Linked DNA regions of Cricetulus griseus. The protein of the gene in region 2 interacts with the protein of the main gene of each other region in a pairwise test. Links are inferred from orthologs where the notes say so. Each region holds a gene or a part of one and is shown on either strand. Other genes may lie near its edges.

Evidence for each region.
Region 1: the proteins of SWI/SNF-related matrix-associated actin-dependent regulator of chromatin subfamily E member 1 (region 2) and Ralbp1 interact in binary tests that used the Homo sapiens proteins (3 or more experiments, as listed by UniProt). The two-hybrid records come from large-scale screens. The link is inferred for Cricetulus griseus from reciprocal best matches to the Homo sapiens genes SMARCE1 and RALBP1.
Region 3: the proteins of SWI/SNF-related matrix-associated actin-dependent regulator of chromatin subfamily E member 1 (region 2) and Cdr2 interact in binary tests that used the Homo sapiens proteins (3 or more experiments, as listed by UniProt). The two-hybrid records come from large-scale screens. The link is inferred for Cricetulus griseus from reciprocal best matches to the Homo sapiens genes SMARCE1 and CDR2.
Region 4: the proteins of SWI/SNF-related matrix-associated actin-dependent regulator of chromatin subfamily E member 1 (region 2) and Mtus2 interact in binary tests that used the Homo sapiens proteins (3 or more experiments, as listed by UniProt). The two-hybrid records come from large-scale screens. The link is inferred for Cricetulus griseus from reciprocal best matches to the Homo sapiens genes SMARCE1 and MTUS2.
Region 5: the proteins of SWI/SNF-related matrix-associated actin-dependent regulator of chromatin subfamily E member 1 (region 2) and Ccdc136 interact in binary tests that used the Homo sapiens proteins (3 or more experiments, as listed by UniProt). The two-hybrid records come from large-scale screens. The link is inferred for Cricetulus griseus from reciprocal best matches to the Homo sapiens genes SMARCE1 and CCDC136.
Region 6: the proteins of SWI/SNF-related matrix-associated actin-dependent regulator of chromatin subfamily E member 1 (region 2) and Cep70 interact in binary tests that used the Homo sapiens proteins (3 or more experiments, as listed by UniProt). The two-hybrid records come from large-scale screens. The link is inferred for Cricetulus griseus from reciprocal best matches to the Homo sapiens genes SMARCE1 and CEP70.
Region 7: the proteins of SWI/SNF-related matrix-associated actin-dependent regulator of chromatin subfamily E member 1 (region 2) and Trim54 interact in binary tests that used the Homo sapiens proteins (3 or more experiments, as listed by UniProt). The two-hybrid records come from large-scale screens. The link is inferred for Cricetulus griseus from reciprocal best matches to the Homo sapiens genes SMARCE1 and TRIM54.

The regions. Positions count from the first base shown.
Region 1 is NC_048595.1:454,801,848-454,806,018, reverse strand, and holds part of Ralbp1 (ralA-binding protein 1), read left to right. Parts: intron 1-711; coding exon 712-873; intron 874-1,793; coding exon 1,794-1,925; intron 1,926-4,171. UniProt on the Homo sapiens protein: Multifunctional protein that functions as a downstream effector of RALA and RALB. As a GTPase-activating protein/GAP can inactivate CDC42 and RAC1 by stimulating their GTPase activity.
Region 2 is NC_048600.1:113,343,760-113,348,517, forward strand, and holds the start of SWI/SNF-related matrix-associated actin-dependent regulator of chromatin subfamily E member 1, read left to right. Parts: upstream 1-1,445; 5' UTR 1,446-1,584; intron 1,585-3,381; 5' UTR 3,382-3,426; coding exon 3,427-3,433; intron 3,434-3,609; coding exon 3,610-3,653; intron 3,654-4,758. UniProt on the Homo sapiens protein: Involved in transcriptional activation and repression of select genes by chromatin remodeling (alteration of DNA-nucleosome topology).
Region 3 is NC_048596.1:79,700,850-79,705,275, forward strand, and holds the end of Cdr2 (cerebellar degeneration-related protein 2), read left to right. Parts: intron 1-134; coding exon 135-299; intron 300-1,676; coding exon 1,677-2,538; 3' UTR 2,539-3,453; downstream 3,454-4,426.
Region 4 is NC_048597.1:84,168,506-84,171,654, forward strand, and holds part of Mtus2 (microtubule-associated tumor suppressor candidate 2), read left to right. Parts: intron 1-10; coding exon 11-108; intron 109-2,193; coding exon 2,194-2,407; 3' UTR 2,408-3,149. UniProt on the Homo sapiens protein: Binds microtubules. Together with MAPRE1 may target the microtubule depolymerase KIF2C to the plus-end of microtubules. May regulate the dynamics of microtubules at their growing distal tip.
Region 5 is NW_023276806.1:198,421,224-198,425,987, reverse strand, and holds the start of Ccdc136 (coiled-coil domain-containing protein 136), read left to right. Parts: upstream 1-1,783; 5' UTR 1,784-1,835; coding exon 1,836-1,893; intron 1,894-2,627; coding exon 2,628-2,735; intron 2,736-4,764. UniProt on the Homo sapiens protein: May play a role in acrosome formation in spermatogenesis and in fertilization.
Region 6 is NC_048597.1:207,716,339-207,720,509, forward strand, and holds part of Cep70 (centrosomal protein of 70 kDa), read left to right. Parts: intron 1-1,405; coding exon 1,406-1,511; intron 1,512-4,171.
Region 7 is NC_048600.1:13,244,963-13,247,834, forward strand, and holds part of Trim54 (tripartite motif-containing protein 54), read right to left. Parts: coding exon 2,706-2,872; intron 2,471-2,705; coding exon 2,448-2,470; intron 2,333-2,447; coding exon 2,208-2,332; intron 2,100-2,207; coding exon 2,007-2,099; intron 1,662-2,006; coding exon 1,651-1,661; 3' UTR 974-1,650; coding exon of another isoform or gene 592-973; 3' UTR 331-591; coding exon of another isoform or gene 38-330; 3' UTR 1-37. Other genes in the region: Ucn (urocortin), read left to right, coding at 38-330, 592-973. UniProt on the Homo sapiens protein: May bind and stabilize microtubules during myotubes formation.

The DNA.
Region 1 (4,171 bases), on a different chromosome or scaffold from region 2:
GTGTCAAAAGAATGAAGGAGACAGTAGCTCTAATTTTTGTTTTGTTTTTGGAGACAGGGTTTCTCTGTGTAGCCCTGGCTGTCCTGGAACTCACAGAGATCCACCTGCTTCTGTCTCCTGAGTACTAGATTAAAGGCGTGCGCCACCATCACCAGGGGAAACAACTGTTTCTTAAATTTCTCAGATATCATTTTTGTTAGCCTGGGTTTCAGAATTTGCTCAATACTATGTTGTTACTCAACATTGCCATAAGGTGGATGCCTGGGCCACAGAAGCTCCAGGGGGATTGTAAGAGAAAGTTTGAGCAAGGAAAACATGTCTTTTTTTAGTTGTTGAGCCATCCTGCAGTACTGGCTTCCTAGCCTGGGAAGCCATGGAACACTGGTGCATGTGTGCACCAGAAGAAGGGGCTCCACCTCCTCCTGTATTCAGAGAGCTCTCAGAATACGATGGAAATGGTTATTAGACACTGCTAATTGATGGTAATATTTTGTACCCTGCACGGGCTTTCCCCCTTATGGTGCTTGAGTACATGTTTAAGCCAGGCTTTCCTATTTCCTTCTTAGTTGATGGTTAGTTAGTAGCCCGTTTTGTCCCTGCTTCAGAGACTTCCTTCCTCTGTACAGGGTTAATAAAGGATGTGCTGTGACTGGTGCAGGTGGAGTAAAGACTGCCCAGCAGTTTTTTAAACTCTGAACCTGTTTTCTGCAGATCAGCAACCGTGTCCTGTATGTGCTCTTCACACACGTGCAAGAGCTCTTTGGCACTGTGGTCCTAAAGCAAGTGACAAGACCTCTGCGTTGGTCCAACATGGCAACGATGCCCACACTGCCAGAGACCCAGGCAGGCATCAAGGAAGAGATCAGGAGACAGGTGTGTACTTGGCCCCGCCTTGACCCCGTCCCTCTCCTTACTCTCCCTGCCTGCTTCTGTGCTGGCCACAGGGAGGAGCTGTGGTCAGGAGGCGATGAGCTCCTGCCTCTACCTCTTGATGCAGAGGTTTTGGTACACACTCAGTTCTGTGCGGCCCTGGGGGTGCAGTCCAGGGCCTTATGCAAGCCCTATACTCCTCCCTTTGAGGCGCATTTTCAGCTGGTCCTAGTTCACACCATGTAAGTAAACAACCATGGCAGAAATGGCGTAGGCTCTTACACTGTAAGAACTGATTTCAAACTCCTGTCACGCTGACTTTTGGCCAGTTGTTCAGTGTTTTAAAGCCTTGGTATTCTCACCTTAAACGGGTGAGCTCTGGCGTTAATGTTGGAGATAGTGCATGGGGAGGACTCACCCACGGCCAGGAGCGCAAAAATGTTTCTTTTTCTAGACAAGGTGCTATAGTGGAAAGGAAGTTTAGTAATTTACTCTGGCATAATTTCTAGACTATGTGACCAAGATTTAGCTCAGAACCTGAGCTTTCCCACTGTTGTACTTTGCTATCTAAAAGAAACCCAGTAAGTGTGTGCCCGTGTAGAGCGGGAAGATAGAGCCTGGATAGGAGGGTTGCATACATGTGTTTGCATGAACATGGCCACACGCCTGCTTTCTGTCTGCTGGCGTCTCCTTAGCAGTTGCTGTGAGGCAGAAACATAAAGGAGGTGAATTAATTGCTATTGAACTGCTAGACACAAATGATGAGCGTCTGATTCCCAGGTGAAGCAAATGAGGATGGGTTTGCAAGTCAGTGCTGGCCTCGTGGAGAGAGTAATCAGCGCTGCTGTGTCGTGGGGGTTGTGTGTGCTGCTTTGAGATGACAAGACACTGAACAGCATGCCACGTGTCCTTTTGTTTTCTAGGAGTTTCTTTTGAATTGTTTACATCGAGATCTGCAGGGTGGGATAAAGGACTTATCTAAAGAAGAAAGATTATGGGAAGTACAAAGGATTCTAACTGCTCTGAAGAGAAAACTGAGGGAAGCTAAAAGACAAGTGAGCTACTGTCTGGTGTGGTGCAGAGTGTGGCAGGCAGAGCCTTCCATGCCCTGCCAGCCCCCAAATCATGACTCGAGATTTAATATTAGTGGTGAATGCTCGTTCTCATTTGGGCTTGTCCCTCTGGTTCCTATAACTTAATTTAACCTGTTTCTCTTCACCTGTGTTCTGCCTTGGGGCTGTGTACCTTCCTTTCATCCTGTACGTCCTGTTTTCCTGCTTGCTATGTGTCTGGCTGGCTGGCTGCTGCCTGGCTAGCCCCAGGGCCTCTCCCTTTGTTCCTCCCTCACTCCTCTTTCCAACCTAGGTTCCTCCTCCTTACTCTCTCCGCCCACCAGCCCCGCCTGTCCCTCTCCTGCCTGGCTATTGGCCGTTCAGCTCCTTATTAGACCAACCAGGTGCCTTAGGCAGGAAAGGTGGAACAATAACATGTCTTTACCCAATAAAACAAATTCAGCACAAACAAATGCAGCACACCTTTACATAGTTAAAGTCATATTCCAGAGCACTACAGTAAGTTATTTCTTTAAAAGCAATAGATACATGCCTGTTGATGTTAACTGTCTGGTGGGAAATTTATTCACATAACTGTTTGTTGTTCTGTGTTACTCATATTTTAGCTTGGTATAAATCAGATGTTTCATTAAGTTTAGAAGTTTTTTTTTTTTTTTGTTTTTTGTTTTTCCTGCCTGGTTTGTGTCTGTAAACAGCTTTCCAAGGGTGAGAAGCAGGCTGGGTGTGAGACCTTTGGAGATTGCAGAGAAGTGTGAGTTTTGAGAGGAAATGCAGGGCTGAAGGCCCAGGAGGATTTTGCACATCAGGGCAAGAACTGTGTGCAGCAGCTGCTGCCTATAGAGCGTACAAGCCGTCTTTGGATTCTGAACTAGTTTAGTGTGTGGGGCTCGATTCAGATTCCTGGCCACACCAAGGCTGAAATATACATCCCTGCAGATCTTGCAATCTTCATGCAGATCCAGCAACAAGATTTAAGTGGCTCTCTAGTTGGCACCTCTCAGACTTGGAGAGTGGTGTAGGGGATTGTTGCATGCAAAGAGCCACCTGAGTCTTTTGCTTCAAGGTCACAGGCTTTGTTGGGAGCATAGTTGTGCTTAGCCCTGCACTCCAGGTGTCAGGACATGTAGTCCAGGGGAAGCCCTTTGCATGGTTCTTTTCTCCCCAGCTCACAAGATTGTCTTATGTTTCCCATCCTTTTTTTTTTTTTTTTTTTTTTTTTTTTTTAATAGGATCTCATGTGGCCCATGATACTCTCAAACTTGTTCTATAGCCAGGATGACCGTGATTCTGCTGCCTTTGCCTCCCCAGTGCTGGATTGCAGCAGTGGGTTTCCATGGGCTGTGAGTCACGACTTAGAACATGGCTAGTGGAGGCTGGGCTTTCCTTTCTCGTGTTGCACATCTATTTTGAATAAAAGAACCATGGTGTAGGGCATGGAGACAGCAAAAGGCAAAGTCCTTGCTTTTGCAAAAGTAAGGACCAGAATTCAGTCCCCAGCACCCAGATAAAAGCCAGATGCGATGACTTATGTTTGTAATCCCAGCTCTGGGGAGGTGGAGACAGGAGAGGTGTCTCCTACCCTAGAGCTACCCGTGAGGCCAGCTACCCTAGAGCAGTCTGTGAGTTCCAGGTTCGGTCAGAGACATTGGCTCAAAAAATAAGGTAGAGAACTGATTGGGGAATGACACCCAACAGATGGCCTCTAGCCTCTACACATATGCACCCAAGTACCCAAATACAGGTGCACACATACACACAGAATTTTGGATTGAAACCTGAGGCAGTATGAAAAGGGGATGGATACCTTCATTTTATCAGGTTGGTTCCCTCTCCTACCATTCCTGATGCTTGCTGCCTTTTTTTTTTTCCCCGGCAGTGGGGGGGGGGGTTTGGTTTTTTGAGACAGGGTTTCTCTGTGTAGCTTTGTAGACCAGGTTGGCCTCTGCCAGCCTCTGCTTCCCGAGTGCTGGGATTAAAGGCTGCACCGCCACTGCCTGGCCTTTCTTTGCTTCCTTCTTTCCTTCCTTCCTTCCTTCCTTCCTTCCTTCCTTCCTTCCTTCCTTCCTTCTTATTTATCCATTCATTGTTGCTGTGAACCCAGGTCCCATCATGTTGACTTCACCTTTGAAGGAGAAATGACATAAAAACAGAAGTAGCATCATTAGTGGATTAAAGACTAAAAATAAGAAAAAAATGTAGTATCAATTTAAACCACGATACCATCTTGG
Region 2 (4,758 bases):
CCTGGCCTCTATGGTTAACTAGTGGCTAGCTCCACCCTCTGATCTTCAGGCAAGCTTTATTTGGTGGAGCACAAACAAAATATCACCACACACGGTTCCTCCCCCACACATCCCCTTTTCTATCACTCCACCCCCACAATCGCCAAAGCAGGGAAGTAGCAAGGCTGGAGTTGCTGAGCAGAGCTAAAGATCCTGGACCCCTGCTGTGACCACTCATCTGAAAACTCTCCTTTAGTCTTTCAATGTGCTCTCTCATCTCGTTCATTTCTGCTCATGAGTATGAAAATGCTGAGCCACGGAAGAACGGGACAGTATTATCACTTACCCCTGACACTACAGACTTCTTCTAAAGATACCTCATTTCCTGTTGTCACAACCAGGATAAGGGAAAACAGGTAGTCCCAGTATTCAGCCAGTTTCTCTAAGTGATAACTTTGTCCTTAGATAACCACAGGTCATCTGTTCATTTTTCCTCCACCCAGACTCACCTCAGCTAAGTGTTTCTATACTTCCTATAGTCCGCCTAAGTGCTTGGAATTAGAAAAAAAAAAAAAAAAAAAAAAGGCCCTTGGAATGGTCCAGAAAGGTGCCTCTACACACACTTACTGAGCACCTAATTACCAGCCTGGCCCTTAGAAACCAAAGGGTAATTATAAAACGGTCCCGTCCAGATGTCTGAACCTTAGTTCCCAAGACTTTCCAAAATTAACAGATGGCCGAGTCCCATACAGAGGATCTCAAGACACAGGACTACAAAGAAAGGACTGGCCTGGGAAAGTTCCAGGAGGGCATCATAAAGAAACAGTTGAGCTTGGCTGTCTGAAGCCAGGCTAAGCTGAATTGGTTCTCCTGGAAAGAAATGTAAATTGTCATAGGTATGCGACCTGGTGAGAGTGAGCTGCCAGCTGCGGGCCCTAAGCTCAGAAACCCGTCGCCATCACTCAGCCTCTAGAAGCATCTGGAAAACTACAAAACTCCCGTGTTGCTTTTCGCTGAGGCTGAAGAGGCAGGGAGCCCTGCTGGGCGCCGGCGAGGACCTAATCGCGGCGACCCGAGTGCTCCCCGCCTCCACCCTCCTCCATCCTGCAGCGGCGTAGTGAGGACCACGGCGAAGGGAGACGCCGGGGTGCGGGAGCTGCGTCCCGCCCTCTCCCGCGAGAGGCTCCGGCGCGCCTTCGCCCGGCGCGGGTCTCACACGGCGGCACCACCGCCTCGGAGACGGAATCCCCGCCGCGCTCGCGGCGCAGTGGCTGCCGCCCGGCCGCGAACCAGCAGCTGAAGCAACGCGGCCGGGCCTACTCCGCCCTCCTCGCCGTGACGAATCGGCGCCCGGCTGGGACGGGACCCAAACTGGAAGAGTTCTGAGGAGAGTGTGGAGCCTGGAAAAAAAAATCCTCGGCTGCACTAAGCCTCGCCGAGTCCTCCCTGGAAGACCCGATCGCCTGAGGAGAGCCGGCCGCGGCCCGCGGAGAAATCCCGGAGCGTGTGGAAAGTGCGAGCGCGGAAGCTCCGGCGCGAGGGGCGGGGCGAGCGCGGGACAAAGGGAAGCGAAGCCGGAGCTGCGGGCGCCTTTTCGGCCCGCGGGTGAGTGTTTCCAAGTGGGCCCAGCCCGGTCGGGGAGGGTGGCGAGCGCCGGTGTGTCGGCTTGGCGGGACCCCGAGTTCCCGCGGGGTGCTGGGGATCGGGCTCAGCTCCGAGGCGGGAACTAGGGCCCGTGCGGCCTCTGTGAGGCCTAGCGGCGGCGGGGTCGCAAAGAAGCCCCGTCCGGGACAGCTGCTCCGAGGCGCCGCTTGTCCCTTTCCGCCGGACCCCCGACGCCGGCCGAGCCCCGATGCACACCCTCCTGCGGGGGGGTTGCCAGAAAAGCTCATCCTGGGCCACAAACTCCTTGGACCTCCGGAAGCCCTCCGGGCAAGGCCAGCGGGGTTCCTCACCCACCTGGAAGGAAGGTGGTTCCCCTTTTTGGTTCAGGCAGCGACCTGATGATTCCCGGGGTGGCCCGGAGTGAGGAGTGAACTCCGGGACGGTGTGGGTTGGGTTTAAATCCACCTCTGGCTTTAGACATTTTATCTTCATCGCCCTGAGACTGTTTCTTCATTTGTAAAATGGGGACAGCCGTATGTATCTGGTAGGGTGGTTGTGAGTAGTGAGCGAGACTGTGTCATAAGCCTACCTTGTAAGGTAATTAATTATTCAGCAAATACTGAGTTCCGTGCTAGGCACAAGGGTTAGATCCACTCTTAAGAGTTTATATTATCTTAGCCCAGGAGAGCAATCATTTGAACATATTCGCAGTGAAGTGTAAGGTAGCACGGACATTGTTACAGTTTCTGTCGGGGCTCCCCACTGCAAGGCCTACTAGGTGTTGATGGAAGGAAAAGAGAGGCCTGGGTTGAAAACCTAAGCTGCTTCCACATCAGAACTCTTACCCTGATGATTTGAGGCATTTTCTTAAATTGAAAAGTAGAAGAAGAAAAAAAAAAGTATTTTGTTTTACATAGTGTTGGATGAAAGTGCTCCAGAAGTCATAGTTTTTTCATCACCATTTGTGGTGTATGTAGAGTAAGGATCGAGCTCACATCTGTCCATGTTGTGAGCTGGTAACACTAGGACCAAATTTATGAAGAATTGGGCTAGGTTTGAGCAATACAGTAATAAATTAGACAATCCCTCCTCTCTTTCAAGACAAAACCTAGCCATATCCCTATCTGATACAGAGAAGATGCAATTATTCTGCCCAGATAATTTATCAGGAAAATACCTGGGATAATTTTTTAAATGGGCTGTAAAGGACCAATACGAGTCATCCAAGTAGACTAAAAATTTGCCCCAGTACTTACAAAACTATTTACCAATAAAAGACAATGTAAAGTTTGTTTTTATACCAGATTATCTTTCACACTACTTCCAGGAATAGGACATTGCTCTGCGTCAATAAACAGTGTCCCCTAAAAGAAGCAGAGCTGCTGATCAGGAATTTGTCAGTATCTGGTAGGCCTTGTTGGGGTCACCCTGATAATACATCACATTCTATTGTCATTATTTTTTTTTACCAGTCTAAGTAAACGTTTGCATGGCATCAGCAAAATGTTTTCCATATAAGACGTGGCTCAATATCATAAGCAAAAACCTAAAAATCCATCTCTAATATAACTCTAAATTTCCCAGTAACTTATTTTCATCATTTAATTCTGATCAATCAAATGACTACAAGAACTAGTTAAAAAATATGCAAAAGGCTTGATTACTAGTGATTAACAGTGAAGTAATTTTGCTCAGAAATACCAATCAAACTACCCTATTCTTTAGGAAAACATTCTCTTATGCTTGCTGAGTTTTGATTCTCTTTTTTTTTCTTTTTTTTCTTTTTTTTTATTTTAGTGTCTCAGATTCATTCTTAAGGAACTGAGAACTTAATCTTCCAAAATGTCAAGTAAGTTTCAATTTTTATATTTATCAATCTGTGTTAATACAAGACTAATGCCCTAGCGAATGGGAATTCCAAAATACTCTCATTTTTTTTTCTTCAAAACAGGACCATTGGTAGTTTTGTTGCATAGTATTATATCTCAGTTGTTTACAAGAAGTTATTTATTTTCTTTCAAACAGAAAGACCATCTTATGCCCCACCTCCCACCCCAGCTCCTGCAACAGTAAGTTTTAATTTTCTTGTTAATGTAATAGCCAAGTCTGGCCTTGATACAAAAACCCAGATGTCTTCCAGTGACAGTCACTCAGTCATCACAGCCACAAGATAGCAAATTCAGCTAAAAATCAGCACTTCCTACTAAATAAAATAATTCTTTTCGTCCTACTTTGAACCAAACCTAACATCTAAAAATACATATTATGAGCTTCCAACCTCCTGTGCTCTGTTTTTCCCTAATGGGAAATGAGTGAAACACTTCTTTCTAGTTTTTCCTGTTAAAAGAGTCTTTAAGTTGATTGAGTAAATGCTCATTCTGGCATTATTTATTCTTTTGTTGTTGTTGTTTTTAAACCTAACCTTCAACTGGTTACATTTTTCTCTCTAAGGGCTAGGGACATAGCTGAGTGTCAGAGCACTTGCCTAGCATGTGCAAGGCCCAGGTTGGAACCCCAACAACACAAATTTTTTAATTAAACTTTCTTGTCTATCTATAAAATTTTCACATTAATTAAAGTTTCTATTTCTGCAGATAACTACACTCATCATAAATCTTATTTTCAAGCTGTTCAAGTTAGGATTTCATTACCCGTGGGTCAGAACTTGCTACTGAATTTTGTTCTTTTCCATAAATTATAAAAATTGGCCCACTGATCTGTTTCCAAATGTCTAATGGTGGGAACTGTTTTCACCCAGCAAGCTCTAGCCTAGCTTGATCAGCATGTAAAATAATCGTCGAGGACACAATTCAGATTTAATAGCAACTGTACAGGCCCTTGTTGAAATGCTAAAAAACCACTTAAGATACCCTACAAAATCAGAATCAGGGTTATTTTTTATTTATTTTGTTTTGTTTTGAGACAGGGTCTCTATGTAGCCCAGGCTGGCCTCGAAATGGTGATCCTTCTGCCTCGGCCTCCCAAGTGCTGGGATTATCAGCATGCCCAGCCCAAAATTAGTTCTTTAATATCTGCTAGCTCTTCCTCCCATGCCCTCCTACCAACTAATTTCAGGCTAGTCTCCTTTTATTACTAATGAGTTCCTGTGTCATTTTGTTTTCTCCACTAGGTAATTAGTCTGATTTACTAACCTGTAGGTGAATGTTTTAGTTA
Region 3 (4,426 bases), on a different chromosome or scaffold from region 2:
GGGAATGGGGATTAATTTTAAGTCCTTTTCAATTAAGAAAGGCAAGTTTGAGTGGCTCACACCTAATCCCCCTTCATTGGTTTTGATCTTAATTTAATGTGACAAGCAGCAACCAGCTTGTGTCTTATTCACAGCCTGACGGAAACAATTGAATGCCTGCAAACAAACATTGATCACCTCCAAAGCCAAGTGGAGGAGCTGAAGTCTTCCAACCAAGGAAGAGGGAGGCAGAAGACATGTGACCGGGAGAAACCAGCACCCAGCTTCTCCTGTCTGAAAGAGCTGTATGACCTCCGCCAGTAAGAGCCTGCCTTGTTGTGGATTTTCAAGCTGGGAATATCCCATGTCATTGATACACTCTGGATTACCATAGATGAAAAGCTCCATTTCAAGAAGTGCCCCTTGCCTGTTAAGCCATTAGTAGTTTAAACAAAGCCACTGAACTTAAATGTAACAGTGAAAGTTTATTGGCATCTATAATTCTTTTCATTTTAATCTGTTAAATATTAGTTTAAAATTAGTAATACTTCTGCTACAGTATAGATTTGGGGGATATATTTCACATTAGACTGAAAGAAAAAAATGAAAATTTTGGAAGCTGGGTGTGATGGTGCATGCCTCTAATCCCAAAACTTAGGAAGCATGGGCAGACTCTATGAGTTTGAGGCCAAAACATAGCAAGTTCTAGGACAGCCAGGACTATGGAGAAGAGACCTTGTCTCAAAAGAAAAGAAGACAAATTTTGGTAGAACAAAAATTGAGGCAAAAAAGTATTTTCACCTAAAAAAAGTGCCCTTATAATTTGTAGTTATGAATTTGAGTCTTTAATAAATACTTACTAAACACCTGTTAACACTGCAGTTGATGTGCCAGTCATCAGGAATGATGGCCAAAGTAGACATGACCTTTCAAGAAGTCAGATGCTCCACAACCAAAAAATTGCACTCAAGCTGCCTAAGATGGGATAGGAGAGGCCAGTTAATGTTTCTCCCCCTTTACTTTTTGTCACACTACTTATAGAGATTTGAGGCTTTTGAGATAAGATCTCATACAGCCCAGCTGGCCTCAAACTCCTGATCCCCCTGCCTCCATCTTCCAAGTGCTGACATTGCATGTGTGTACCTGGCACTGTGGATGTTTTCCAAGAGCAGATACTAACTCTCAGGTCAGAATTTCTTGGCATGAACCTAAAGCTGTCCCAGTGCTGCTGATGTGTATCCCTAGTTAAAAGTCTAAACATCATGTTTCTTAACCTTGGCCACACATTATGGAGAACAAACATTTAAAACCATGTAGATCCAAGTAGCAAACCAACAAGGTCAGAATGAATGGTGTGAGCTCCAGGTTTTTAAAACTACCCAGCTGTTTGTGATCTGCAACTAGAGATGAGACTCTTCTTGTCCATCACATTTCTTGTAAGCAGCTGTCATTCTGCTGGTTTACAAGTGAGTTTTCTAAACTACTTTTACTATTCAGGGGGTGGGGATCAGTCACAAAATTGTTATTTGCTTTCAAGAATTTTCCAGCCTCATATAGTTTAATTTTAGCCACTGCTTGTAGCATTGAATGAGCTAAAAATTGGTGTCACAGCTCTTTAAAAAGATTTAGTTTAAAAACCCCAGCAACTTCCTTTGTACCATCAATTGACATTTAATTATTTCCATATTTCCTCATAGACACTTTGTATATGACCACGTGTTTGCTGAGAAGATCACTTCCTTGCAAAGCCAACAAAGCCCTGATGAAGAAGAAAATGAGCACCTGAAAAAGACAGTGACAATGTTGCAGGCACAGCTGAGCCTAGAGAGGAAGAAGCGAGTGAGCGTGGAGGCAGAGTATAAGGTGGTACTGAAGGAGAACTGTGAACTAGAGCAGCAGCTGGGTGCCACAGATGCCTACCGAGCCCGAGCACTGGAGTTGGAGGCAGAGGTGGCTGAGATGCGGCAGATGCTGCAGTCAGAGCATCCTTTTGTGAATGGTGTTGAGAAGCTGGTACCCGACTCTCTGTTTGTTCCTTTCAAGGAGCCCAGCCAGAGCCTGCTGGAAGAGATGTTCCTAGCTGCTCCAGAAGCACATAAAAAACCACTCAAGCGCAGCAGCAGTGAGACGATGCTTAGCAGCATGTTAGGGGGTGATATCGTGAAGGGCCATGAAGAGACTTGCATCAGGAGAGCTAAGGCTGTGAAGCAGAGGGGTATCTCCCTTCTGCATGAAGTGGACACTCAGTACAGTGCCCTGAAAGTGAAGTATGAAGAACTACTGAAGAAGTGCCAGCAGGAGCAGGACTCACTGTCACACAAGGCTGTGCAGACCTCTAAGCTGCCGGCCAGGGACCTGACAGGACTGGTAACCCAGTCTGAGGCTGGAGCCAGTGGCTGGGAACCCACTCCTGTTACCCCAGAGCCCATCAGTTCCCCCACCACTACACCTCCAGAATACAAAGCACTATTTAAGGAGATATTTAGTTGCATCAAGAAAACAAAGCAGGAAATAGATGAACAGAGAACAAAATACCCATCTCTCTCTCCTTACTCTTAATGATACCTCCAGTTATGATCTGCTGGTTTTCTCTCATCCCCTCCCATTCAGACACATAAGCGCAATTTCCAAAGCTTCATGTTGCTAAAGATACTTGTCTCATTGCTTTGCTTAATTGGCAAAAGCGGGAAGAGAGATGGCTGATAATGTTGACTCTAGGGTCCCTAGGAAGTCTCATGATAGACTGGCCTCTGGTTGGTGCATTGATTAGGTTGACCTCCAGGAAAAGCCCTAGAACCAGTGGAGGGGGATCCATGTAGCTGGGGTAGGCTAAAGCACCAACAGTGTGGGGCAAAAGACAGAATTGGAACAAGACTAAGGCTGTTCCTATTGCTTCCATACTCAGCTTCTCAAACTACTTGGAACTCCATGGTCTGCTTAATTAACTAAAATGCTTTTCAGAAACACCCATTCCAAAGAATGTTGAGAAAGCTGAAATCTAATTGGAAATATGACATTAACAAGCTCCTTAAACCCCTAAGTTTTGTTGCATCTGCTACCAGTTGAACGATGACTGACAGGTAATCCTAATATTTCCAAATTCAAATGAATGCCAGTTGAAATGGCAAGTTTTGTTTTGATTAATGCCTATTGGTATATGCCGAGCATTCAGCTGTTTTACTCAAATCTATATGTAGTATTCTGTTTTCAAATAGAAACTAAAGGAGAAATGTTAAGGTGTGATCTGCGCTGACCACTTGGCAGCACAAGCTGCTCCTACTCAGTTCTTAACATTCCTAGACTTGCAGAAGTTCCTGTCTACTGCATTACACGGTATTGATGTTCTGACTGTGGAAACACTCTTCTCACTTGTACACTTTTAATTTAAAAATATTTAAGAGAACCATGGTTCTGATTGTTGTATATATTTTTCTAAAAGCCAAATAAAGCTATCTATGAATGTGAACAAATAAATTACTGCCTGTTTTAAGCTTAATGCCATTTTACAGTTGAAACAACTGGCTTTTCCCCAATAGATAGCTCTAGGGAATTTGAAAATAATTTCTCCTTATTTACTTTTAAGCAAGAAACCCTTGGGATTGTATAACTTAATATAAATTCTGTCCATGTTGCTAAATATTATGATTGAAAACATTTTCCAGGGACTGGAGAGGTGGCTCACAGGTTAAGAGCACTGGCTACTCTTCCAGAGGTCCTAAATTCACTTCCTAGCAACCACATGGTGGCTCACAACCATCAGTAATGAGATCTTGTGCCCTCTTCTGGTGTGTAGGCATATATGTGGGCCAAACACTGTATACATAATAAATACAATCTTAAAAAAAGAAAACATTTCCCACTATTTCAGAAGTGTCTGGCTTAGTTCTGAATTCATAGCATTTAACTATTTGGTTGTTAAAGCATCCAATCAGTTAATCATAGTTAAAAACTTTTCGATGTTTGACTATTGGGCTGGGACAAAGGCTCAGTTGAGTAAAGTGCTTGTGTAAAGACCAGAGTTCATGCCACAGCACCCGAGTAAAAGGTACGAGCATGGTGCATGTACATGCAATAGCACCCATGCTATTATGGGTATGGAGGCAGACACCAGCAGATCTCAAGGACTCACTGGCTCTAACCAATCGGTAAGTTCCAACTTCAAAACTCAAAAAATGAGAGCAAGCGCTACAGCAATATCTCAATGGTTCAATGGTTAAGAGTACACTGCTCAGCCGGGCGGTGGTGGCGCATGCCTTTAATCCCAGCACTTGGGAGGCAGTGGCAGACGGATCTCTGTGAGTTCGAGACCAGCCTGGTCTACAAGAGCTAGTTCCAGGACAGCCTCCAAAGCCACAGAGAAACCCTGTCTAGAAAAAAAAAAAAAAAAAGTACATTGCTCTTGCAGGGAACCCAGGTTAGTTCCCAGTACTGCCTGTAACTCCAGCTC
Region 4 (3,149 bases), on a different chromosome or scaffold from region 2:
CCTCTCCTAGGTGGAGAAGAATATCATCCTAGAAGAAAAGATCCAAGTTCTCCAGCAGCAGAATGAAGACCTCAAAGCCAGGATTGACCAGAACACAGTTGTCACCAGGTGGGTGCCCCTGGCTGCTGATTCCATGTCCTTGAAAATCTGCATGTCCCCGTGTTCAGCCTGAATAATCCGATGCCTCTCAAATGAGCAAAAGAAAAGCACATGGCTGTGTCCCCTCAGTGTACATCCTGGCTGTACGTCACACCTGCCCCATCCGCTAGGACAAGACAGTTCCGACCACAAGCAAGGACAGCAGGGGCTCCACAGAAGGGGCTGTGATTGCTTCCTGGAGATTGGGAGAGGGGCATCAGCAGGGTGTCCCTGGGCTAAAAAGAACCATGGCTAGGTAGATTCCCAGAGCTCAGGTTAGCTTGTCCCTGCAGGATCTTTTCTCAGGAGCCTTGCTTTCAAGGAAGGATCAGGAATCCCCCTTGACCCCAGTAGTGGGGTGAAAACAGAGCTTGGAGGCCAGCTGGAGGTTATTTTGTTCAGCAAGGCTAAGTCACTCTAGTGTGTAACCAGTCACTTTCTGTCCCGCCAGCCAGCTCTCCTGCCCCCCCCCCCACACACACACACAAAATGGCACAGGCTTATTATTTATTCTAAAAGCCGGGCCTATAGCTTAGGCTTCTCCCACTAGCTCTTATAACTTAATTAACCCATTTATATTAATCTATGTTTTGCTTCATGGCTTTTTACCTCTCTTCCATCTTGAACCTCCTGTTTCCTCTTCACGTCCTCCGGCATCTTTCTGGCACCTGGATTCATCTCCTCTTCCTCTCTCTCTTCCTGGAAGTCCCACCTAACCTCTCCTGCCTAACTATTGGCCATTCGGCTCTTTGTTAAACCAATTAGAAGGTGCCTTGGCTTAGACACAGCTTTACAGTATAAAAGATTATTCTACATCACTAATGAGATTCAGGCCTGAGCCCTTCCGCTCTCAGCTGGACCAGTCTCCTCCATGCAGCCGTTATGTATCGTCCTGTGCATATACACACAAGCCCATGTGCACACACTCCTGTGTACACACTCCTGTGTAGTCATACACACACATGCTCACACCTACACTCATATTCACACCCATACTCTCACACATATGCACTCATTTACACACCACCTATTCACATGTCCACACATACCTAGCCACCTTCCTCAGATAGCAAGTGCAGGTGTTGGCCCAGAGTACCATTTCTGGACTTTAACCTATCCAGTTGTAAAATGTGTTTGTACGTCATGCTAATTCCTTGAAGAGGCTGTCATTGTTAAAAATACAAAATGAACTAGACAGGTGATTCAGTGGTTAAGAGCACTGGCTGCTCTTCAAGAGGACTCAAGTTTGATTCCTGGCACCCAGATAGCTGCTCACAACCCTCTGTGACTCTAGTTCCAGGGGATCCAACACCTTCTTCTGGCCTCCAAAGGCACTGCAAACAAGTGGCTCTCAGACATGCATGCAGGCAGACCACCTATACATATAATTTTTTTAAAGTATTAAAAACATGCAACAAAGTCAGCAGCTTAAGCATTATGACATTACATGCCATACGTGTACACACACACACACACACACACACACACACACACACACACAGAGAGAGAGAGAGAGAGAGAGAGAGAGAGAGAGAGAGAGAGAGAGAGAGAGAGAGAGAGAGAGAATTGGATTTTCTTTCCCCTTTATTAGCAAACAGTGAGAAGGCATCTGGTTTTGGGTACCATGCTGAATGGCAGCCAAGAAGGTAACAGAGCCTTGATCTTGCTCTCTAGGGCTTGTGGTCCAGCAGACAGGTAGCTCCACAGAAGAGCTAAAGACTTTGGTCACAGAAGCATGGACCCAGGGCAGGAGATAATGGGAAGATATCCCCAGCTGATTGGCAGCTGTCAGTCAGTACCCTGACCATAGCCATGGGCAGTCTCCATCTCTATAAGGCAGGCTTTCCTATGGGCCTCTAGCAGCATGCCCATACTGCCTACCATCTCCCTCTGTTGTACTCCAGCCCCTAGACTTTACCCTGAGCACAAGCACCACCTCCCCTAGCCCAGCAGAGAGCTGTGAGCTGTGAGGTATGGCCCCTGTCCTCTTCCCAGCACCCTGCTTTGATTATCACTGGTAGGTCTGTTACCTGACCATCATTCTCCCCCATGCAGACAACTGTCAGAGGAAAATGCTAATCTCCAGGAATACGTGGAGAAAGAGACCCAGGAAAAGAAGAGACTGAGCAGAACCAATGAAGAACTACTTTGGAAACTCCAAACAGGGGACCCAACCAGCCCGATTAAATTGTCCCCGACATCCCCGGTGTACAGAGGCTCTTCCTCTGGACCCTCCTCTCCAGCCAGAGTCAGCACCACACCTAGATGACATCGCTTTGCCACCTACAGGAGCTCAGGCTTCTGTCCATCGGAGGGAGTGCTGGCCAGGTGCTGGTGGCCGCCCTGTGCGCATGCTCAGTAGCTGCATATACATCTTAGCAGCGTCCTCTCTGACCCCTGTGTGAGACCGTCCTGGTATTGGTTGGCACTTAGAAAGGTGTAGGCAGCAGAGTCCTGTGTCCAAAAATGTTTTAGTGTAGTTAGAGGCAAAAGAGAAGCAACTCCCATTGTTCTTGAGAGATGAACTTTCACAACAAAGGTATAGGTCAGTTGCAAACAGCTCCGTTTTGAATGCACAGAACCCTCCTTGTACTACCGCTTGGGTATATTCAGACATGTGGGTATACACATGTGGCGATTCTGAATTGCATTTTTTATAACATGATGCGCTGACATATTTTAGTGACGGTCAGCAGTTTTGTAAGTTGTGCCTAAGAATTATTGGGAAATGAACGTGCATTTCTATCTAGTTTCCTGAAAATATTTCTACCCAAAATAGAGAAGAAAAAAATGAAAAAAAAAAAAAAAGGTAGAAGCACGTCTATCTGCCGCCAGGTGATACCCTGCTTAACATAAACACCAGCGATTTGTAGACGGTAACTGCCTTTGGAGCAATTAGCTTCTTAGTCCATGTGAGGTGGGGTCCCTGTTACCACATTGCAGGATTTAATTGTGCCCCCTCCCATCCTGAGAGATGAAACGTAACAGGGGAAACACTGACGGGTCGAGTG
Region 5 (4,764 bases), on a different chromosome or scaffold from region 2:
CCCTGGCAGCCACTTCCCATCATCTCTACCAATCAATCATCAGAGGTGTCTGAGCCCAGACACCTCTGCCCAAATCTGGTTGGATGACCTGCTGACCTGCAGGTTAATGTAGTTGGAAGATTCATTTTGTTCCATGGGCCAGGTTCTTTGCTGGAAGCTGAAGACAAGATGACTATCTTTTTTGTTTTGTTTTGTTTTTTGTTTTTTGAGACAGGTTTCTCTGTATATGTAGCTTTGAAGCCTATCCTGGCACTCGCTCTGGAGACCAGGCTGGCCTCGAACTCACAGAGATCCTCTGCCTCTGCCTCCCGAGTGCTGGGATTAAAGGCGTGTGCCATCAACGCCTGGCTGATACTTCCCAATCTTAACAGCAAAGTCAGAAGAGCACAGCAGAGTATCTAACAAGGAAGGGCTAGGGTGTCCAGAGACTCTCAAGGTAGGGCTGAAATGACTGATAAGTAGGGATAGGTAGGCAAAGAAGTACTTCGTTCCTGTGGAACATGGCATCCTGAGAAGGTGAACACAGCCAATCCATGTCCAAACTTTAAGAATGAGACTACAAGAGAAAGAACTAGTGTGTGTACCCAGCTTAGAAATCGCCCTCACAGAGCCCATTCCACATAGAGGGATACTCCCTGAGCCCAGACACACGGGGGCGGGCCTAGTCCCTATCCCAAAGGACACAATAGACTCTGATGACCCCCCCCATGGAAGGCCTCACCCTCCAGGGGGAGCAGAAAGGATATGTGATAGGTAGGGTTTTAGTTGGGGGGGGGGCTTGTAGTGGAGGAGGGCAAGGAGAGGGAACTGGGGTTGACATGTAAAACCATCTTGTTTCTAATTCAAAAAAAAAAAAAAAAAAGGAATCGACCCACAATTTTGACTTGGGGAGCCAGTTCCTGTGTACCCACTTCTGACCTGAATGAGACCTGCTGAGAAGTCAGATCTGTCTCAAGATCAAGATCGTCTCTTGAGTGGATAGTTGAAAAAGTGAAATAAGCCCTGTGGTTTCCCACACCTTCTGTTAGAGGGGACATCAGCGGTGCCCACAGGACATGGGGGCGTGACTCAAAGGACATGGAGAGGACAGGTCTTGGTGCACCGAGGGCAGCAGGGTTGGGCTACGGAGGGCTCCTTCTAAGTCAGTCCTTGGCTCTGGCTTGGTGGGAATTCGGAAAAGGCAATGATGCCTGCCTTGCAGTTGGCACATCCAAGTCTCAAGTTCCCTACTCTGCAGCCCTGCAGCAGCTCTGTGGCACGTGAGGCCGCCAGGAGGAGATGGATGGGCTCGGTGAACTGCGGCCATGGAGACCAAGAAGTGCGCGCGTGTCTGCGCATTTGCAGGAAACAGTCCATTCTTGGTTTTTTGTTTGTTTGTTTGTTTGTTTGTGCCTCAATCACCAGGTAGGACCAGGCCCAGAGACCCAGAGCAGAGAGGTCCTTAGGAGCGACTGACCTAGGGTGGGTTCTGTCGCCAGAAGCCACCCATCTTGTCACTCCTTGGGAGCATCCTTAGGACCCGGTAGCTCACGTCCGCCGTGCAGGAGGCGCAGCAGACCCGGAGCTGCCTCCGGTGAGGCTTGGGCACTTTGTTAACGCGCAAGGAGCCTCCAGGGCTGGTCCCTATGCGGTCCGGAGCCGCGGGGACAGAGAGGGTTTCCGGGCGGCGGCAGGCTGGCACCCGCGTCAGGTGGCCAGGCCAGGCCCCGCCCCCTCGCCCCGCCCTCTCTCCTCCCTGCGCACCGCACCGGGCTCCCGGTCCCCGGCCCCGCGGCTGCGGCTTCTGCTCGGAGGCTGCGGCGGCGGCGGTGGCGGCGGCGGCGGCAGGAGCGGCCATGGAGGCAGGCGGCGCGGGCCGGCGCGGGAGCGCGGGCTGGAGCTGCCCCGGCCCAGGTCAGAGCCGCCCCTCCCTCAGCTCCCCATGCTCCTTCCCCCTCTGCTCTCCTTCCTCCTGACCCCCGGGTGCCCGGGGTACTGAGTCGACTTCCTCCACCCCGGCCTCCATCTTTCGACCTGGGGGTGTCCCCTCCCTAGCGGTCACTCCTCGAGTGCTCCCCACCTCGTCTCTCCAGCCCGACCGTGCTTCCAGCTCGCCAGGGGCGGTGGAAGCAGCGGGGGGGGGGGTCTCGAGCCTGCACCCTTCCAGTTCATAAAAGCTCTTGACCAGGGGGTGAGGGTGGGCTGGGCGAGGTTTGGTGAGGGAGGGGAGGGGAGAGGAGAGGCCTGGGTTGGAGCCCCTTCCCTCCAGGTCCGGCCGCCCCTCCCTTCCCTGCCTTGAGCCACCCGCATCCTCCAAAAACCTTCTTTCTTAGTTCCCATCCTACCCCTCTTCTCCTTGTGCCCCAAGCTACACACTCACCCTCTTTCTGTCTGGGCGGGGAGAGGAGCCGGCGACATCCTGGATCAGGGGTGCTGAGGCTGGGCAGCGCCGCGCTGGGGTCCTCTCCTTAGGCAGAGCATGGGAGGTGGCGAAGGGAGTAGAATCACACAGCTGGACAGCGTGAGTCAGGCTCCTCCAGTGGGATTACAAATTTCGGGGCTCCCAGACAAGAATCCGCGTCCCTTTCTTTCCCCTCAGCCCCCAGCCTCTTTCCAATCCTACAGTGCCTACTTTCTCCTGCTCACAGGACCCACAGTAACCACTTTAGGCTCTTATGAGTTATCTGAGGGTTGTGAGAGGAAGAAAGGCCAACGCTGGGGGTCCCTGGAACGCCGTGGGATGCAAGCTATGGAGGGTGAGTTTTCTGTCGAAAAAAAAAAAAAAAAAAAAAGCTTTTCCATCTTCCATCACCCTACTCCCCAGTTCCCTTCCATCCTACTTCCTTCCCTGACCCCAGAGCTCTGAGGAGCCAGGATACGGCCCTTCCCTCACTTCATCTCAGGCCCCTCCTCCCTGGTGGCAGAGCTCCAAGCCTGTCCTGGGCTCAGGCATTGATGGAAGTTTGGGCACATCCCTTTGGGCTCCAGTCACCCAGCTAACCAGGTTGTGTGTCCTGGGGGAGCTGCCAGACAGACAGAGGTCCTGCTGAAAGGAGCCTGGAAGCAGCCTTTCAGCGGGGCGCTTGTTCTCACTGCCTGCTGACCTGGATCCCAAGCTGTCTCTTATTTTTAAAAGCCAGGACATGGGCGGGCGTGTGAACTGTCTTTCTGATGCCTCCACTGTCAACTTTGAATGGAGCCTTGCAGCTTTAGTAAGAGAGGCTTAGGAGAGATCGAAGTCAACTTCCCACCACCACACCACAGGACAGGGCAGGGAGGATCAACCAGGACTTCTTGTGAAGTGACCCCAGGCCCTTTTACAGTTCAGTACAGGCCTCCCCTAGAGACTCGATAGCATAAGGGGTCTCAGATGAACCATATGCTATTGGTATTAGAAAAAGAAAACCAGAGATTCAGAATTTAAAAACAAAGCAGTCTCCACCAAGACAAGATTGCTATTTACGGGAACTGCATTGCAGTAAAAGAAGTGCTCACCAATCCAAAAATGGGACCAGTACCAATTCAAGATTTTTGGTTTTTTTTGTTTTGTTTTGTTTTTGGTATTTGTTTTCTAAGACAGGGTTTCTATGTATAACAGCCCTGGCTGTCCTGGGACTGGCTCTGTAGACCAGGCTGGGCTTGAACTCACAGAGACCTGCCTGCTTCTGCCTTCCAAGTGTTAGGATCACACCTGGCTCAATTCAGTGTTTGGTTTTTTTTTTAATAATTTTACTTTTACTTTATGTGCATTGGTGTTTTGCCTGCATGCATGTCTGTGTGAGGGTATCAGGTCCCCTAGAACTGGAGTTACAGACAGTTGTGAGCCGCCTGTGGGTGCTGGGAATTGAACCCAAGTCCTCTGAAAGAGCAGTCAGTGCTCTTAACTGCTGAGCCATCTCTCCAGCCCCTCCAATTCAGTTTTTAAGATATGTCAACAGTACTGGAGGGATGGCTTAGCAGTTATCTTGTGTTTGATTCCCAGCACCCACATGGGAGCTCACAACCATCCTATAACTCCTATAACTGACCCCCAAGGCTACTGCATGCACACTATAGACAGACATACAAGCAGGGAAAACACCCAGATGCATAAAATAAATAAATATTTTTTAAAAAAATGTGTTTGGATGGCAGGCTTTCTTTTATGCATGAGTTCAGTTTCAGACTTACCCTGAAAACCAACTTGGGTCAGCAGGAAAGAGGTGGCACCCAACAGGAATAAAAGTTAGTGTAGAAATTTTCAAAGTCGGGGCTGGAGAGATGGCTCAGAGGTTAAGAGCGTGGACTGCTCTTCCAGAGGTCCTGAGTTCAATTCCCAGCAACCACATGGTGGCTCACAACCATCCGTTATGAGATCTGGTGCCCTCTTCTGGTGTGCAGATATACATGGAAGCTGAAATGTTGTATACATAATAAATAAAATCTTTAAAAAAAAAAAAAGAAATTTTCAAAGTTATTTGATAGCTTGCTTTTGAAAGGGTTCCCACATTTACCCAGTAAACAGCTCAGAGCCATTCCCTTCCAATGTTTTCCTTCTCCACTACAGGCCAAGCCAGTACTTTCCTATTATTAAAAGGCCACCTGGATGTGGGTTTTTTGCTTGTTGCCTTTCCAACCTTGCCCGATTTGGCCTAAATACGCAGCTGTGTCTGAATGTCTGAATCCTTTCTTAACTCCTTGTCCCATTACCCTGTGATCATACTGGAAGTTCCAGGTGTCCTTATGCTACCAACTTCTTGTAGATGAGCCAGGGTGGTGCTGTAAAGGCAGGAGACATTCAATATT
Region 6 (4,171 bases), on a different chromosome or scaffold from region 2:
TAATCAAGTCGGGCATTTATCATGTTGTATGATCTCTTCCTATGACCCTGGTTCTATATTAGTATATATTTTACAGCCTCTTGATATCTTTGGTAGCATATCATGGAAATCTCCTTACCTTCTGACTTACTGTTGTCAGTTGGGCATCGTTTAAGGGCTTAATTGCTGACTTTCTGAGACCTTCTAGGTTGCAGTAAAGGAGTACCCCAAATCCATCCTTTCCCTTGATCTTCTGGATTGAATTTGGGATTGGATTAGAACTGCCTCTTTACCAGTGGGAAGTTGGGGGATACCTTTATTTCCCTGGAAGTGTAAAAGTCATTTCCATCATGGATGTCCTAACGTATCACTTACCTTTCTAGAAGTGTTAGAGTTTATTCTAACAACAGCATGTGAAATCACAAAGTTGGCTTGCTCTCCAAAGGTTTGGACATACCCAACTGGGCTGCCAATAAAGCTCCCCAGGTCTCTTTTTTAGTATAGACAGAGAAAGGAGCCATGCACATAGGTTGTCCCAGACTCCATTCTGGAGATCTGCCTAATTGAAAACATGTCTTGTGGAAGAAAAGGGGGCACATCTGGGGACAGCGTTTCCACACTGGGAAGAGGTCTGCTCTGTCTAAAGGGCTGCAGATTGGGATGGATAGCCAGAAGACTTACAGGGGTGGAAACAGTCATGTTGGGCAGTTCATGAATTTGGGGATTTGGATACTTTGTAGGATTTGAAGACTTGTTCTTGCCTGCTGACTCGTTTTTTTAGATGAGATCATATCACAGCCAAAGTATAGGGGTACATTTTACATACTTGGGCCAATTAAGGGTGATCCTTCAAGTAAAAGGACAAATTGAATATATGGGATAGCAGTCCATTTTCCCTCTTGCTTGCAAAGCAGATTGAGCGGAATGATGGTATTGTAGTTTAAATTGCTCCTAGAGGCCAAGATTTCCAATCACTTAGTGGGCGTTCTGGCCAGCCCTGGATAGGGAGAAAAGAACCTTTTCCTTATGACTCTGAGGGTCCGTCTTACTTAGTTTTCTAAGAAGTAGAGCAGAGGATTTGATGTGATCTTGGTTAGGGTCAAATCCATCTGACCCTGTCTAGTAAATGGAAGCATTCCTTGGAGAGACACCTCTCTCCTTACTCTTCCCTGGGCCCAAAGGGATGCCTCTGATCTGGGAGAGCCCTCGTGTTTAGAGATTACTTCTTACTTGTGATGTATTGGAACTTTTCCAGGGGCCGTATGGTTTACACTTTACATACATACATACATAAAGTTTGCACATGGGTGCACACACACATATAAATAAAAAAAAACAAGGTTTTGGGGGAGGCCAGCTCTGTCATTGACTTAGTTATTTTAATCTTCTAAGAAAACATTTTTATTGACTTTTCCTCCTCCTTTAGATTACAAGCGCTTACTGGTCAAAAAAAGACTGATTACACGGAGAAAAAAGATGAGCCCAGCAAAGACAGCCATCAACAGGTTCTAGTTGACCAGAGATACTTTCAGGTATTGAATAGCTGATGAAAAGACTGGTGTTTGTGAAGATCCTTGGTTTTATGCAGTATAATTTGTTGCCACTTGGTAAGGAATGTTTGTATACAGACAGCTCTAGGTATCTGTGGGGGCTTGGTTCTGGGATACTTGTGGATGCCTAAATCTGCAAAATCCCATATATAATGGCATTGTGTTGTGACTTGAATGGGAAATGCCCCCTATAGGTTCATGTGTTTGAACATGTGATCTCCAGCCATTTAGAAATGTTTGGTGTTTGTTTGTTTAAGACAGGTCTCTCTCTGAAGTTCTGGGCTGTCCTGAAACTTGCTATGTAGACCAGGCTAGCCTCAAATTTATAGAGATCCATCTTCCTCTGCCTCCCAAATGCTGAGATTAAAGTTTTATATATTTTAAATTTAGTTTAGGTGTATTTCTTGTCAGGTTTATTTTCTAGGTATTTAATGACTCTCATTGCTGTTGTGAATAAGATCTAGGCAACTTTATGAGAATTTTATTTTAGCTGTTTCTCTGTGAGTATGTAACTGGGACTCTTTCATTTGCTTGCATGGGCTTAGTATGAGAGCCTGTGTGTGTGGAGACCAGCTCTTATTTCACTCTTACTGTTGGCATCTTACTGCTTTTCATATACTTGGTTTCCTGCTCTACTCTTTGGTTTTCTTTTCTTTTTCTGGCATTTGCTAGATTGACAGATGTTTCTTTGTCCTTTTTAATTTTGTTTTGTTTCTGCCTTAAAAGAAAAGCAGTAATTCATGTCATTCAGAGAGCTCACTGACACTGATAAACTCCCTGTGTTGTTGTTGTTTAAAGCAATCTAAAGGTGATCAGAGAACAGGAAAAGCTAAGATGAATTTAATTAATTAATTAAGCAATGGAATTTTCTTAAAGGCTTTTCCTGTTCTTTTAAAAATTCTTATCTCTGCGGGAATTGCTTTAAGTTACTTTATGGTTTCTACATTGTTACTATATCTTTTACTGCTAATTATCAAAAAGGTAGTTAATTCATACAGGACAATGTAAATTGTCACCTGTAAAAATTCTGATGGAATTAATTCTTCCATTAAAATCATGAGTTTATATATAATTGAAATTAAATATTGAAATATATATTTTTAAATAATTTATTTAACTTTATTTTATGTGCATTGGTATGATGGTGTCAGATCCCCTGGAACAATAGTTAGAGTTACAACTGAAAATTGCTGAAAATTGAACCCAGGTCCTCTGGAAGAGCAACTAGTGTTCTTAACTGCTGAGCCATCTTTCCAGCCCCCTGAAATATATTTTCATGAAAACTAAAAGCCTTCTAAATAACCTCTGAAGTCATATTACCAGGAGACCCATTAGTTGCAGCTTGAAGTATGCACAGGACAGAAATTCAAGATAAAATGCTGATCTCATCGTCACGATTCGTGTGTGTGTGTGTGTGTGTGTGTGTGTGTGTGTGTGTGTGTGTGTACGCTTGTGTGTGTTTGTGCATGCATGGGTTCCTGGTGTACATGTGGAGGTTAGAGAACAACTTGTGGGTGGACCATGTGGGTTCTGGGGACGGAACTCAGCTTGGTGGTAAGCAAGCCATGTCACTGGCCCTCATCTTCATACTTGATGATGATTTCTTAAATAGGATAGACTTCATGTTGATAAATGGGGAATTACTTTTATTATGTGTGTTTTGTTTTTTAAATACCACGCAAGGTGTTAAGAAAGGGCAGAGACAGGGGGCAGGTAATACCTAAACTCAGGCCATCTGACAGACCTGGGACCTCATTAAAACACTTTCTAAAAGGCTCTGAAGTTAATTAAAGAGGTAAAATAAGAGAGAAAACAAACAAGGTTGAAAGAATGATCTATTTTACCTGTCTTTGGGTGGTCCCTATTGTAGTGCTCATCATCACATCTAGAGAGTCAAATAGTATACATAATAAGATATTAAAACTTCAGCTCAGATATCAGTGATATTAAGGAGTTGTCAGTTTTCTTCAGTGTGACAGTGGCACTATATTGTATAGACTATACCAGCTTTTAAGAGATGCATGCTTTACTATTTGAGGGTAAAGAATGATGATAGCTTGATTTAGCTGACCCTGCAGACAGAGTGAGCCAAGCTAGGAAAATGTTAACAGTTACTGGATTTAGGTAGTGATTATGTTGAGTGCTAATTTTATGTGTCGGCTTGATTGGGCTTTACATTGCCCAGATGCTTGGTTAAACAGTGTACTTGTGGGTGAATGAATGGCAGACAAATACATTGTACTCCTGTGGTAGGTGGATCTCATCCAGTCACTTACAGAACAAAAAGACCCAGGGGGAATTTCTAATGCATGCTTTTAACATACTTTGTTTGGTTTTGGTTAGTTCTCCTACCTTTAGGTTTGATCCAAAGTGTCAGCCTTCTAGGGCTTTGGAACTACAATTCTGGGTCTCTTCTCAAATTGCTAACTGATAGTCATGGGATTCCATTAATTGCATGAGCCAATTCCTTATAGTAAATCTTTCTTTTTAAAATATGATCTCTCTCTCACGTGTGTGTGTGTGTGTGTGTGTGAGATATTCTAGCCTTCAAGTGATTATACAAGGCCCACTTATATATACACACAAATACATTTCCTGTTGGTGTTGTTTCTCTTGCAAAGCCTGAAACACTGTTTAACACA
Region 7 (2,872 bases), about 100 Mb from region 2:
TGCAGGAAGGACTCTGCATCCGGAAAGAGCAATCTTTATGCCTCAGCTAGCGTCTCCCTCCTCTACAGCCAGGGTGCTTCCAAAGCTAGATCCAGGATCAGGATGCGTGCCCCTCTGGGGGCTCGAAGTTGCTGGACTCGAAGCTGCCGCTGTCATTGCTTCTACAATCAGTTCATGTTCTTCGCTGACGTCAGTCGGAGCTGTCCTGGTGCTATATAAGGCTGGCAGCGGTCCCGGGACAGACCCCGTGCTCCCCAAGGCGTCTTCAGCCCGCCCCGGGGGACAGAGACTGGAGCTCCATCTTGCACCGGGCAGACACTCCGACAACATGTGAGTGGCTCGGAGCAACGATTCCGACTCCCTTAGCACCAAGACTGCACTCAGCCTACCCACTGCGACCCGCCGGGAGGGAAGGAGGGAGAGAGGGGTGGAACTGGACTGGCCCAGCGGCTGGGACTGGTGGGCAGGCTGTAGACACCAGGCGACAGCTGGAGGGTCCCGGCGGGGGCACTGGGCGTGCGCAAGAAGGGGCTCGTGTCACCTGCGGCTGCTCCAAGCGCACCTCACCCTATGCTGCCCCTGTGTGTCCAGGGCAGGCGGCACCATGAGGCAGAGGGGACGCGCTGCGCTCCTAGTGGCACTGCTGCTCCTGGCACAACTGCGCCCCGGGAGCAGCCAGTGGAGCCCGGCGACTGAGGCGGCGACTGGGGTCCAGGATCCGAATCTGCGATGGAGTCCCGGGGCGCGGAATCAGGGCGGCGGCGCCCGCGCACTCCTCTTGCTGTTAGCCGAGCGCTTCCCGCGCCGCGCGGGATCGGGGACCGCAGGCGAGCGGCAGCGACGAGACGATCCTCCGCTGTCCATCGACCTCACATTCCATCTGCTGCGGACCCTGCTGGAGCTGGCCCGGACACAGAGCCAGCGCGAGCGCGCAGAGCAGAACCGCATCATACTCAACGCGGTGGGCAAGTGATCCGCCCGGTGTGGGACCCCGAAAGGCTCGACCCTTCCCCCTGCCTACCCCGGGGCTGAAGCTCACGCGACCGAAGCTGGCTTAGTCCCTCGGTGCAGTGCCGCCAGAGTCACCCTGAGCACTCTGTGTGGTTATTTTTGTAAAAAAATAAAACTGCCCTAGAGCTTAGCCTCTTTCGTCTGTCGTGGGGAGGCGGGGCGGCAACGGCAACTGTAGAAGGGTGGGAACTCTGGGGGGTAGTGGGGCTCCCCAGGCCGGTAGCAGACACAAGCATGCTAAGCGGGACCGGAGAGGAAAGCTATCAGTTAAGTCCCCGGGGACTCATCGCCCTTCCCCCAGCCCGGAACTCGGGTCCTGAGACCCCACTCCTTTCGAGGTCTCGGGCTCAGGAGTCCACCTCTGGTGTAAAGGAGGTGCTCATCCGGGGGTTATCATCCCCCCTCCACCCCTTCTAGTGATCTCGGGTTGAGAAAGGGCAGACTGATGGCGAGGTTGCTTCTACAGCAGAGACTTGGAGTGGGCAGGGAAAGAAGACGGGACGTAGGACGCAAGATTCTTTTATTGAGACCCTTCCCGGGGGCGGGATGCCTAGCTGGGTTGCGCCGCCGTGGTCTCTGAGCCGGTCCTCAGCATGCCTTGCCTCCCGTTGCGGGCTCGCACTCTGAATCAGGGTCTGGTCAGTGCAGGCCTGTTGCCGGGAAAGGCAGCTTGGTGGGCGGGTGCTGCAGAAGAACACACCCCAGCCCACCCCACCCCCGCGCGCGCGCACGCTCGCACAGCCCCGCGACGGTTAGCTTCCCCCAGGCAGCTGCGTTTGTCCTACTCGCTGACCCACCTGGGTCCCCAAAGCCCGAGCAAAACCAACCGTGGGAAGAGTGCGCTTTTCCGCGCGCGCTAGGGGGCGCGCTTTGCGGCTCCTGTGGCGAGACACTTACCCGAATGGGGGACTACCAGCGAGTCCTGGTGCCCTGGGAAGGCAACCGCCCACCGCTGGCCAATCACTCCTCACCCAAAACCCTCGTCCACCTCTCACCTTCTGGCCCGTCCAGCCGCTCCTCCTCCAGCCCTGCATTGCTCTCGTCCCCTTCCAAAGCCACCTCGTCATCCTCCTCATCCCCCGCGGCGCCTAGGTGGAAGGCAGGCCAGGTGATGTGGAGCCCCTGCTCCTCTGGCTGTAGCGTCCACTTCATACCCTTGGGGCGGGTCCAAACAGTCCCTCCCTCGGCTCCCTCACCCGGCTGGAAGTCGATGGTCCGCAGCATTTCGGCCACGTGCTCCACGTTCACAGAAAATTGCTCCATGCTCTCATAGCCTGGCTCCGGCCGTCCTGCCAGCTCCACCTTCGACATTGCCCCGACCCTGTGACGGCCACAGGGCTCAGCAGGGGAACGCCTCAGCTCCCGCAAGCCCCTCCCCAGATCGGAAGAAAAGAATCCACAGGGTCCCTTCCTTTCCCACCGCACAGGTTGCTCACTTGTTGATCAGCTCCTTGGCCTGCTGCAGGGGAGAAAAGGGGGGCCAAGGTGAGCGCTGGGCCAGCCCCGGCAAAGTCCGATTTCTGATTCTCACCAGTCCTGCGGGGTAGGTGGGGGCGTTTATCCCAATTCGTTAAGGAGAGAACCCAAGTAGAAGGGTGACTTTGCCCAGGTCGTGGTGACAAGAAAGTACCGCAGGTTAAGACTTGACCGGGTTCCCCCGTCCCTGGTTTCTGCCACCCTCCCTCTCCGCTCACCTGGAGGTAGAGAGCCATCTGCGGCTCCTCCATGGATTGAATGGCGGACTCCACCAGCTTAGAGGAAACCTCCAAGTGGTCTCCGTACTGACGGATGAGGCCCCGCACGCGCTGCAGCTTCTCCTCTTGTTCCCGGGCCAGCGCTTGCAGCAGCTCGCCCTTGCGCT